Linked DNA regions of Caenorhabditis elegans. The protein of the gene in region 3 purifies or fractionates together with the protein of the main gene of each other region. This does not show direct contact. Each region holds a gene or a part of one and is shown on either strand. Other genes may lie near its edges.

The links.
Region 1: the proteins of F02E9.1 (region 3) and rmd-1 fractionate together in Caenorhabditis elegans (co-fractionation; one large-scale study listed by BioGRID). This does not show direct contact.
Region 2: the proteins of F02E9.1 (region 3) and F48E8.3 fractionate together in Caenorhabditis elegans (co-fractionation; one large-scale study listed by BioGRID). This does not show direct contact.

Annotation. Positions count from the first base shown.
Region 1 is NC_003281.10:9,757,403-9,760,940, reverse strand, and holds rmd-1 (Regulator of microtubule dynamics protein 1), read right to left. Parts: upstream 1,848-3,538; 5' UTR 1,791-1,847; coding exon 1,788-1,790; intron 1,398-1,787; coding exon 969-1,397; intron 912-968; coding exon 663-911; 3' UTR 557-662; downstream 1-556. Other genes in the region: gcc-2 (GRIP and coiled-coil domain-containing protein 2), read left to right, coding at 1-556, 2,077-2,128, 2,196-2,332, 2,376-2,592, 3,077-3,147; vps-53 (Vacuolar protein sorting-associated protein 53 homolog), read left to right, coding at 3,427-3,538. UniProt on the Caenorhabditis elegans protein: Acts in chromosome segregation and organization during mitosis.
Region 2 is NC_003281.10:5,459,380-5,464,933, reverse strand, and holds F48E8.3 (fumarate reductase (NADH)), read right to left. Parts: upstream 3,556-5,554; 5' UTR 3,519-3,555; coding exon 3,372-3,518; intron 2,966-3,371; coding exon 2,041-2,965; intron 1,683-2,040; coding exon 1,558-1,682; intron 1,175-1,557; coding exon 890-1,174; 3' UTR 552-889; downstream 1-551. Other genes in the region: F48E8.2 (E2F-associated phosphoprotein), read right to left, coding at 376-536.
Region 3 is NC_003279.8:8,405,073-8,408,196, reverse strand, and holds F02E9.1 (Vacuolar ATPase assembly protein VMA22), read right to left. Parts: upstream 1,370-3,124; 5' UTR 1,272-1,369; coding exon 1,186-1,271; intron 1,136-1,185; coding exon 1,067-1,135; intron 1,015-1,066; coding exon 930-1,014; intron 876-929; coding exon 723-875; intron 680-722; coding exon 608-679; 3' UTR 552-607; downstream 1-551. Other genes in the region: Protein lin-28, read left to right, coding at 1-36; F02E9.3 (Suppressor protein SRP40-like), read left to right, coding at 2,242-2,699, 3,062-3,124.

The DNA of each region.
Region 1 (3,538 bases), on a different chromosome or scaffold from region 3:
TCAGACAAGGCAGGAGCATTTTAAAACTGTCGAAGATTTGGCTTCTTCACGTGACAAAGCAGAAAGACTTGAGAAAACTCTAAAAGTTCTCAAATCAGAACTCACCGAATCAGAAAAGGCTCACACTACGGCAATTGACGAACTTCAGTCGAGCTCTTCGAAGTTGATTCAAAGATTGGACGAAGAATTGAGATTAATGAGATCATCTCGTGATACTGCTGAACAAAAGATTAAAGATATAGAGATCGCAAAGGAAAAAGTAGATCATCTTCTGCAGAATGAGAGGCAAAGAAGTGAAAATGAGAATGGAAGTCTGAAAAGCAAGCTGTCAAGTGCAACAAAGCAGATTCACAGTCTAGAAAAGGAATTACAAGAGTTGAGAAATGACTTTGAAACTCGTCGAATTCAAAGCAATCAACACCAGCAGCAGAAAGCTATTGCAGCTGTCGTACCTCAGCCGATTCAGCTTCCAGAACATCCTATTCCACCTCTTCATTATCAAAGACCAGCAGTTGCTCCTTCTGATTCTGTTTCTTGTTATGATGAGCCAACACAGGTAAAAATTCTTTATTTACAGAAAAATTCATTGATGCAAAATATGAAGTTAATTGGGGAGAGAGGGGGGCAGGAATCAATAAGAAACCGTAGTCAAATAGATCGAATTAGCATTTTTGGAGAAGAGACTTGCACTCCGTGACGAATTGAGCATCATTCGATGAAGCGGCAGGTAAGACGATCGCCTTGTTCAGCATCTCACGTGCTTGCTGCTTCTCCTTCTTGGCAAGATGACATTTCGACAGGAACAGCAAATTCTCGATCCAATCAGCGTTTTGGTTGTAGGCGGCTTTGAAGTCGACGAGAGCGTCGTCGATCGTTGCTTTTGGAACTTCGCTGTAGAGCATTGAAGCTGCCTGGAAATTAGAGTGTTATTCGGAAGAATTCAAGACAAAAGATTATAAGAAACTCACTTTTCTTTCAAGCCATGAAAGGTTCGCGATGGTGTAAGAGAAGCGAGCACGAAGATGGAGAAGAGCAAAGTCGGTTGGATCCAATTCGAGAGCCTTGTCGAGCATGTCCTTGAGCCGTCCACCGTCATTGATCTTCTCCTTAGTTGGCAGTTGATCGACAACAAGTCCGAACATGATGGCAGTCCATTTAGCGGCAAGGAAGCTTGATGGATCAAGATCCATGGCTTCCAATCCGTAGTCGCGTCCTTCGATCAGCATCTTTCGTCGCTGCTCTCCGCTCATCGTCGTCGAAAGTTCGTGGCAGAAGCGGCACATTCTCCAGAGAAGATCACAAGTCATCTCGCCATCTTCACGTCGCTTTTTCAGCTCCTCGAGTCCTTTGACGAACTCGCGGCTTTCAAAGAGTTTGTCCGAGGTGGCAAAGGATTCCTGAAAATAAAAGAAATTGAAATTAATCGATTAAAAGAAGGTTTTGAATTAAAAACGTGCTAAATTTCGTAATGAGATTACTCAAAAAAATTATTCTATTCGACAAGTGACAAATTTCACCTAAAACTTTAATTTTAGCAACTTTTCCGTGTCGCTGCGGTTGGAGATTGAATCTAATCTCATATTATTTCGTTGATTTAGATTATTTAGGCCACATTACTGGCCTAAAACATCGAAATAAACGTCATCACAAGAGATAAACCACCAAAATAAAACAATAATCAAGGAAAAGTCACAGCGGCGCGGAAAAGTTGAAAAAATTGGGAGATTTCAGTGAAAATTAGCCGGTTTTTAAAGAAATGTTGAAGTGAAAAGCAAAAAAAAACTCACCATTTTTGGGGATGTTAGTAGAAGTAGTCGAATAAAAGATATCAGACGAGAAGATAATGACTGAAAAACGCTTCTTTTATATTCGACAAATTTGGAAAAACACGCGGGTCAATTTCTCGCGCGCGCGCGCGCAACAAAACAAAAATGAACATTCAGAGATCAAAACCGAATTTTCTGGAGAAACATTGAGAAAAAGTGATAAATAATATAAAAAATATTGTGCCACGCGCCTCAGAAAGTTCGTCATTCCTACGAAAACTACTTTTTAAAAACCTGTTTTTTTTTTCAGCCTGATCGGTCACTGGAGGATGTTTTGTATGGAGATCTCGGTGATGAATACAGTTAGTTTTATATTTTATATAAATAAGATTGTTTTCTAAAAAGTTACTTATTTCGAAATACTTGCAGGAGTCGAATCAGATGAACTATCGGAGGAGAAATTCAAGGTCATTCTAGACCAGTTAGAGAATTTGAAGAAAACAAATCATCACGTCGCAGAGCTTCTCAGTGATGCCGAGACTGCAAATGGAAGGTTAACAACTCAGGTAGAATTGGGAAAAGTTTTAGAATCAATATTTAAATTTCTAGAATTCACTGCTAAAAGATGAAATTCGCCGACTGGAACGAGAAGAAAAGCGAGAAGCCGAGTTGTCAAACGAGAAAAATATGGAATATTTGAAGAACGTATTTGTACAGTTTCTCAAGCCAGAAAGTGTTCCCGCAGAACGAGACCAGCTGGTTATCGTACTGCAGAGAGTTCTACATTTGTCACCGAAAGAAGTCGAAATTCTGAAAGCTGCATCAGGTGAGAGCACCCAGAGCAGGCTATAAAACAGATAAAAGAGGAATAGAGAAAGCGCTGAAAGAGATTGTGGTGGACAACTATTTCTCTGCAATAGCCAACGGCTGGCGGAAGAGAGGCAATAATATTGAACAATATCAACAAAAGTATTGTCCCGCCTTCTCAAAGTATTTCAACATCGCGAAGGTTTAGTGTTTTTACTAGTTGGGCGTTATTTAGGTGGAGAAGACGAAAACAACTTTAAAAACAAGTAAAACAATTCTCAATTTTCGGAAATAAGTCTCAAAAAATCAAAAATTGGGCTGCTACCATAAACTTTTTTATCGCGGTGTTACCCATCGGCATTAATAAATCGGTGCGCCTTTAAATCGGCGTTTCAGAAAAATTTATTTATTTTCGAAAATTTTCCAAAATAGAATTTACTACCTCCACTACTAAATACTTACGGATTAATCGTTCAACTTTTTTTCGAATTTATTTTTTTCAGCACATATGGCAACCGCTCAGGCAGGCTCGTGGTCTTCATACTTCTCGGGATGGTCTGGTGCTGCCACTTGAAATTATCAGATTTTCATAACATATTCGATTGTACAATTTTATTTTTATTATGTATTGCATGCTCAACCGGGTGCCCATTTCTTGTTTCTTTTGTGTGTGATAATTATTCTTTCAATGTATAGGTGATTTATTGTGTGACTTCACTACTTTTAATGAACAGAGTATGGTTTGTTTTTCGGATTATGTATTTATTTTTAATATCAGATGCGTTGTTGGCGCTCTTAAATACTATTTTATCTTTGAAATTATAAATTTAATCTCAAGAAAAGTCCTATTCAGATGGAGGAACCGACCACTAGTGAGCTGAAACTCTCAGATAATGTAATGAATGAGATAAGCGATATGTGCATCACAGAATACTGCAAACCTAATATGAGCCTGATGGCACAAA
Region 2 (5,554 bases), on a different chromosome or scaffold from region 3:
TAGATTCGCCTAGGAATACTGTGTTTGTTTGATCAGCGGGATAGTTTTGAAATAAAACTTGATTTTTCGATGAAGTAGGGATATTTCTCAAAAATGATTTTCTATTGAACCAACATATTAAAATTTAGCTACAGTAACCAAAAAAGGTCGTTTTCTTTGAATACTTCTGCATGGAGTACTGTAGCAAGAATTTCAGCTGCGTCGGGGATTACTGCTACCGTAACCTGCGAGCGGTGTCTGATTTTTTTAAAAGGTGGAAACTTAGAAATTCATGTGATTTTAGTGAAAAATAGTTTTTTTTTCCAAAATTTTTACGCTGTGCATTTCCTTTTTTTGGCATTGATTACAATTTCTCCCATTTTCCAGTGTATTTACCTCACATCATCCTCTGAATCAAAAACTTCATCCCCAACAGCTCCACCGAGATAATAATCATCATCCATTTTTTCAAAAGCAAGTCTACGCATCGTTGCTGCGGTCACTTCATCTGCTGGATATTGGTCATCGAACGTCTCATCGTCATCGTTGATCATCATCGTCTGCCGCTTCTTCTGAAAATAAAACACATTTATTACCCAAAAACACACCACAATACGAAGAAGGAAACACGATAAATACGAGAGAGTGTGAAAATGAAGAGAAAATGAGAAATAAATATATGTGTAGAAGAACCCATAAAGATGCAAATCACAAGAAAAATAAAAATGCTGAATAGAGTAGTAGATATAATAAAAACATATAAAGTTGGTTGGAACTAGTAAATGAATCATTATCTACAGGGGTCCGGGAATCCCGGATCGCGAAAAAATGTTTTTTTTAACTGAAAATTTCTGAATTATACTGTAGAATTGAGCCACAAAACTGAGTTTTTTCTGTAAAAATATTCGAATTAGAGCTCGGTACGAGTCTCCGCAGCAGATTGAGCCGCAGATTTTCCAGCAATTCTGCCAAACACCACACATTCAAGCAGGGAATTTCCAGCCAATCGATTGGAACCATGAACTCCGCCAGTGACTTCTCCAGCGGCAAAAAGGCCGACAATTGGCTTGCCATGCTCATCGATGACGCGGGTGGCCTCGTCGATTTTCAGGCCACCCATGGTGTAGTGGATTGCTGGGACGACGATTGCTGCGTAGATTGGCTCAGTCGGAGAGATTGCAGACACTGGGAACACCTGGAAATGGGAAATTATTACAGTTTCGGTATTTTTCGGCTAATTCCGATGCAAAAATAACTTTGTTTTTACAGTTTCGATATTTTTTTTTGCTGAACGATATTTTTTTAATTTTGAAAAAAAATTTAGGCTTGGGAAAGTTTAAATTGAAAATAGATCGTCAAATATTCGGGGAAAGATTTTCTCGATATTTTTCAACGTTTTACTCAAAGTTTCTAATAATACAATTTCAGCACAATTTTTCCTAAATCTATGAATTTTAGTTTTTCTTTCACTTTTCTGATTTTATAAAGTCTGTTTTAAAAGTAAATGCAATTTTGATCAACTTTTCAGAATTCTTAGTCATTTTTTCAAGAATTTTAAAATTAAAAATATTTGAATACCTTTTTGCCGAAAGGATCTTCAGATTTTCCATCAAAACTCTTCTGATATTCCTCCAAAGTGGTTTTAATAGCTGATTCGTCGATACCCAAAGCCTTTGCAAGCTCCGCGGAGTTCTCGTATTTCGCTGAAAAAAATCAGATTTCAGAGCAATAATACAATTTTCATAATATAAAACTAAAAATTAAAAAAATTAATTTGAAAAAGGGAATTTTTAAAAATTTCAGAAATTCCGGAAAAAAAAATTAGTTTTGGATTTAAAATGCTTTTAAACTCCAAAAAAAAGGAAGCTGATAAAATTTTCGACAAAAAAATCTTTAAACTGGGAATTTTTAATACGAAGATTTTGTCGAACTTATTCTCGAGAAGTGTTAATGGATTTCGAAAAAAAAAATGAAATTTGAAAAAAATTGTTTGGGATTTTTCAAATAACAAACAACTAATTTAAAAAATGTTTTCCAACTTTTTCACAGAAAAAAACCTACCAAAGAATTTCTTAACAATCGAATAAAAATTGAAAGCAGGTCTGCCAAAAGCCTCAACATTTGCTTCATTCATAATCATAATCGCCGCATTTCTTCCAGCAGATCCTCCTTGGAAACTCTCTTCAATTGGCTCAGCGAGCTCAAGAATCTTTCCAGTTAAATAATCGCGTCTTCCCAACTCATTTCCAAATCTTTGTCCCTTTGAGTTAATAAGCAGAGCTCCTTTTCCACGAATAGCCTCAGCCGCCAGGAACTTTGTTCCTGCTGATGGATCTTTTGGATCTACAAACGCTGTAGGATGAATCTGAATATTTTCCATTCCAATAATCTTTGCTCCAAGAGCTCTCGCAATTTTCACACCATCTCCTTTAGCGAATGCTCCATTTGTTGTTGGGAATCCGAATATTTCAGCTCCAAATTCCTTGAGCAAAGTTTCATCAGCAGAGAATCCACCGGTTGCAAGGATTACAGCGTCTCCGATGATCTTTGATTTCTCTCCAGAAGCTGATGTTACAATCTCGATTCCCGATACTTTTCCATTTTCTCTCAAAATTCCAACCATTTTAGTCTGAGTCAAAAGCTTGAAGGCTTCTGGATTCTCCGATTGCTTCTCATTAAGCCTTGTTCTCAATCTCTTCATAATTTCGAAACCAGCTGGTATTGGTCGTCCTTCCTTTGGAGATGGAATCCAATGAGTACGTGGTACAGAATGCCCACCACATAGATTCACATCAGTCAGATCCACTTCAACTCCACGCAGAAATTCAACAGCATCTGCTGAATTAGCAGCCAGAATTTCCACAAGTTTCTTGTCATTTTCAGAGTCTCCTGCACTCAGAGTGTCCTTGACAAGAAGTTCCGGCGAATCTTTGATTCCCAGTTTCTCCTGAGTTTCGGTTCCAGCACCGTTGATTCCGCTGGATGCCTGGAATATTTTTTTCAAGAAGTGAGGATATTGGACACTTTTTTTAAAAATCACCTAGACTTACTAAAACATTTTACTGTAATTTGGCATACTTAATTTTGAAATTTTTCAGAACGAGAATTTGTTACTCTTTTTTTTTATTTCCAGCTTTTTCACACGATTTAACTGTTTTTAAATTTGAAAATTTCTTACAATCGAAATTTTTTAATTTATCATATTTTTTCAGAGACGTTTCAGTTTTAAAGGAAAAAAAACAGAATATTATTTTTTTTCACAATTTGCAACTAATAGTAAAATAAATAACTTTTTCAGAAATTTGGAACAAAAAAATGCGAGAAAATAAATTTTAACAATCGATATTTCCAGAAGTTAAATAGATTTTTTTCAAAAATTCGCAAGATCTTACCTTCGCTGAATTTCCACCAGTATTTCCCTCTCCCTCTACCAAAATCACACGTCCACCTCCATTGATAATATCCAGTGAAGCAGACAGCCCGGCGAGCCCACCTCCAACAACAACGACAGTTGGCTCAGCATGAAGCACAGAAGCCATAACTGTAAGCGAAATGAGCACCCGAATCATCAAATGTCTGTCAATGGGGAAATTTCAACAACGGACACAAAGGGAAATTATAGAAAATGATAGAAAATTGGTTAAAACCGCCGAAAAAATTAGACAGAATTATTTTTTAAAAACCCATTATTTATGGAATGTCTAACATAGGAGAAAAACCGAAAAAAAGGGAAAATATAAAATAAATTAAAGCTGATTTTTGAATAAATATATTCACATGGATAAGGCATCTGGGAAGCATGAAAAAAAAGTGATGGGGAAAAACAATCAATAATTCATAACCGTAACTATTCACATTTACTTTTGATCTAGTAGTATCGATACTACAGTGCTCCACATAATGATACGGCCACCCCAAATTTTGGTATAACTCAAAACTGGGTTGAGATAGCAAAACATAGTTTCTTGTGAAAATGTTCGCTGTACTAACTTACTTTCAGATAAGTATTGGAAATATACCTGAACCGTTTGTAAAAAAGATAAACCATTTTTTCATGAAAAACCATATTTAAAAAATCCACAAAATGATACGGCCACCCTTGGTTTTCGTTTTCTTTTTTCGTTTTCTTTGCAATTTTTTTTGCTAAACGTTAAGTTTCATGTTCGTTTGTGTTTTTACAGTTATGGGTCGTGGAATAACTTCAACTGACTGCGAAAAAGGACAAATTGTGCCAAATTATCTCAAGGCTTCTCGAATCGTCAGATTTTTCGTGATTTGGAAACTTTCGAGAGATATGATCACTCGATATGCTTCCAATCCTGCCGCTTATTGCACAAAAAAGTCTTCTGGTCGCACACCTTTTCTTTCTGTCAGACCCAAAAAAAAAACCGTTCGTCGAGCATCCAATTGAACAGTGACTTGCTCGAAAAGTAGGAGCGAGATGAACCTGGCAGTGTCTGTTGAGGCCGTACGACATGTCCTTTTGAAGTCTCAGTTTAACAAAAGACGAAAATTAAGAAAGGCTCCATTCATTACCAAAAAACCGCCAAAACCGTATTCAGTTTGCTAAAATCAGTCAGGGAACTAACTGAAGACAAGTGAGGATTACGGTATAATCATTCAAGCCCAGTTTTTGGTTTCAGTTCATCTTCAGTGACGAGAAAAAGTTTAACTGTAATGAACCAGATTACTACCGTGATTAGTGGCACGATTTGAGAAAAGAAAAGATGAACTGAAACCAAAAACTGGGCTTGAATGATTATACCGTAATCCTCACTTGTCTTCAGTTAGTTCCCTGACTGATTTTAGCAAACTGAATACGGTTTTGGCGGTTTTTTGGTAATGAATGGAGCCTTTCTTAATTTTCGTCTTTTGTTAAACTGAGACTTCAAAAGAACATGTCGTACGGCCTCAACAGACACTGCCAGGTTCATCTCGCTCCTACTTTTCGAGCAAGTCACTGTTCAATTGGATGCTCGACGAACGGTTTTTTTTTTGGGTCTGACAGAAAGAAAAGGTGTGCGACCAGAAGACTTTTTTGTGCAATAAGCGGCAGGATTGGAAGCATATCGAGTGATCATATCTCTCGAAAGTTTCAAATCACGAAAAATCTGACGATTCGAGAAGCCTTGAGATAATTTGGCACAATTTGTCCTTTTTCGTAGTCAGTTGAAGTTATTCCACGACCCATAGCTGTAAAAACACAAACGAACATGAAACTTAACGTTTAGCAAAAAAAATTGCAAAGAAAACGAAAAAAGAAAACGAAAACCAAGGGTGGCCGTATCATTTTGTGGATTTTTTATATGGTTTTTCATGAAAAAATGGTTTATATTTTTTACAAACGGTTCAGGTATATTTCCAATACTTAACTGAAAGTTAGCCAGTACAGCGAACATTTTCACAAGAAACTATGTTTTGCTATCTCAACCCAGTTTTGAGTTATACCAAAATTTGGGGGTGGCCGTATCATTATGTGGAGCACTGTACATTTAGCAAAAAAACATTAGCAACGTAGCCGCGGAAGAGAAAGCTCGGCCATGCCGCAAATACAATTCATAAATTTGGCGGGACT
Region 3 (3,124 bases):
ATTAGAGAAAAGAATAGTAATTCCTCTGATGAATAGAATCATCTAGACACTGAGAATATTGATAGAGAAATAATGGAATATATGGTCTCAAATAGATTTTGTCTCGAAATTCTTGAACATCCAAATTTAAATGTGAAAATTTTAGGAAATAATTTTGAGCTTTCTGATAGTTTTTCAGCTTTTGAAATGTATTTTATTTTGAAACCAATATTTATTTCATTTTCTGTCTCATCTAATTCTCAGTTTGCATGCGTTACTTTAACTTACACACTAACTCTTTTTTTATTCAAATTTTGATGTTTTTTTTTCAATTGTTTTACTCAAATTTCCCCTCTAAACCATACTACCACCTACCTCCTCAAATTGCACTCTCAGGGATTCTTTTTTTTTTCAAATAGAACTGATTGCACCTGTTTTCAGGATCTATAAATCTTATAATATATTTAACTTTCGTGTCTTTTCATGTTCATGTATTTCTTGCTGAAATCCATCATTTTCTCTGAAAATCTCTACTCGTAAGTTCCGCTATTGCGGGCGAACGCTGAAATAAATCGAGAGTTTTGTTTTTATATTGATTGAATACATATTTATCACAGAATCATGCAATTTAACAATCCTCAACAAGTTGGCGGGATTTGGCAAGAATTGATTGTTGGGTGGATACAAGGTCGAGAATCGTCTGAAAAATGGATTTGAAATTAAATTCCTGAGATTTTCAATACCTGAATAGAATTTCTATAAATTTTTCGAGCGTCCTTTGCAGCAGCCGGCTCAAGAACCCCAAACGGACGGAATTGTCCAGAAAATGTTTTTTTGGCTTCTTCAACGTCTTCTGATTCTCCGCTATTCTTCTTTTCTGATTTATTCTCGTCCTTCTGCAAAAAATTTAAATGTAAATTTTTGTGGAACAAAAAACGATTGCAAAAAACCTTTTTCTTATTCTTTTTGTCGTTTTTCTCTTCCTCATTCTCTGAATTTTTGAGAAGTACAAATTTCCCGTTTTTCGTATCCAATCTAAAAATGAATACACTTAAGTAAGTATAATTCAAAAAAAAGTAGTTTATACCTGATAGATGGCTCCAAATCGTGTGTATCGACAGAATTAACACTGAAAAGACCAATTCCGTGCGTTGTTCTGAACAATTTCTCGATAAAGATTCATTTTACGAAACGAATAAAACTTACTTTGCTTTAGAAATACACAAACTTGCCAAGTTCAAGTCTTTTCGAAGTTGATCGTGAAGGGTGATGAATTTGTCGATTAATTCCATTTTTTCGAGGTATAAATCATTTTTCTGATTTATTGATTGCGCAGGCATCACTGGAAATATACGCTTTTATTGTAAAGCAGTAAGGAAAAAGAGAAAATGATTGAAAAAAGCAGAGAACGATCAAAAATTGGTTGAAACAGCAAGTGCGCCCTATTGCACAATGCTAATGAAAACCGAGGGAATTCAAATTAGAAATGTCGATGGGTCACACAACATTTTGTCCTAGAGTATTTAATTTAAATAATCGGAAATTTCTGAACAATCTTGGAAAAGTTGAAGCTAACAATAAAATGTATATAAATCCAGTATTTAAATTAATTTTTTTCTATAAAAACCCAAGGTCGGAGAGATTACGTGTGAGATAATAATCCAGAAACAAAACAATTCAGTTCTTATAAGTTATTTCGTTGGCGATCGCAAAACGAGAAGATTTGCACTCAAATCGTAAGTTTTAATCAGATTTCTTTCGGGTTTGAGATTTCCGTCGTTGGCATTGCTTCAAGCCTACTTGCATACTTAATACCTTCGTGAACTTTGTGTTTGATGCTACAGTTGTAGTAATTTCGATTGGTTTTGTTGAAAATCAGAATAAAGAAAGCAAGGCTCTAGGCTGCTGGTAGGCACGAGGCAGGCGAAGGCATAGGTTCCTACTGTGGAGGAATACGGTAACGCCATTAGTACGCAAACATAGCGGTTCTCACGACAAAATGCTTTGGTATTCTTGATGCTCTAGAGTTGAAATATGGATTACCAGTGAATGACGAGGATATCGATAATCGACTTGAAAACTTTTAATTTTATCAGCAAATAGACTTTTCATCTAAACCGATTTTGATGCTTTTTAAACTGCGTTAAGCTGTGTAAAGTTTTCGTAATTTTGGCGCTACAGTACCACAAAAAACTATTTAAAAACAATCCAAAAGCATTATTTCATGAAAAGTTTTTCAGAAGTCGAATAAGTGAGTCCAAAATGATTCGAAGACGTCATTCAACAACTCGTATTGATCGTCGTCCAGATGGTCTCACAATCTATTACAAGCGAGCCAATGATGATATGGAAGAGGAAATGTTGAGAGTTTCAGTAAAACCTGAAGGAAAGAATATTAATGATTCACTTCGTTCATCTAAATCATCTTCGTCTCCTCCATCAAGAAACTCATCTCTGAATCTCAAAACTCTCAAAAAAGATCGCAAATCAAAAGAAGGCAAACCGAAGTCATCATCGAAACATGGAAAACGAATGACGTCACGTGCAATCCACGTATCAAAGAAATGGAGTCAATTCAACAGACGTGAAGACAAAACTGACTATTTGGATGATGAAACAATGCAGATTTTGGAGGATTTGAAGATTTTAAACTGTAAAATTAGAAAACGATTCCAAATTGGAACCACGTGTCCGCACAGTTTGGCAAAGACCGACATTTTGTGAGTTTTTGATCTTTTAAGAATGGGCAGGCATGATATAGGCAAGTGGGAAGGCTGATGCGATGTAGGCACGTAGATAGACAGGCAGGAATTGGTAGGTACGCAGCTAGATATGTAGATACGTAGTAGGAAGGAAGACGTTGGAAGGCTGACATGACACGTCTCCAGGCATTCTTCAGATCCATGCCTAGCTGCTTTCATGACTGTATGCCTACTTGCCTGCTTATATCTCTATTCTTCTACACGTCGCCCTCTACGTGTTCAATCAGATTTCTACCACAAATGATAAAGCATAAAAAGAAATATCGGAAAATCTCCGTACTCTTGTGAAAACAAAAATCATTGTAATCTGAAAATTTTAGATCGTCTTCACAATCTTCCAAATCGCAAAAATCATCGACAACCACAAGTTCACCTGTTCTGAC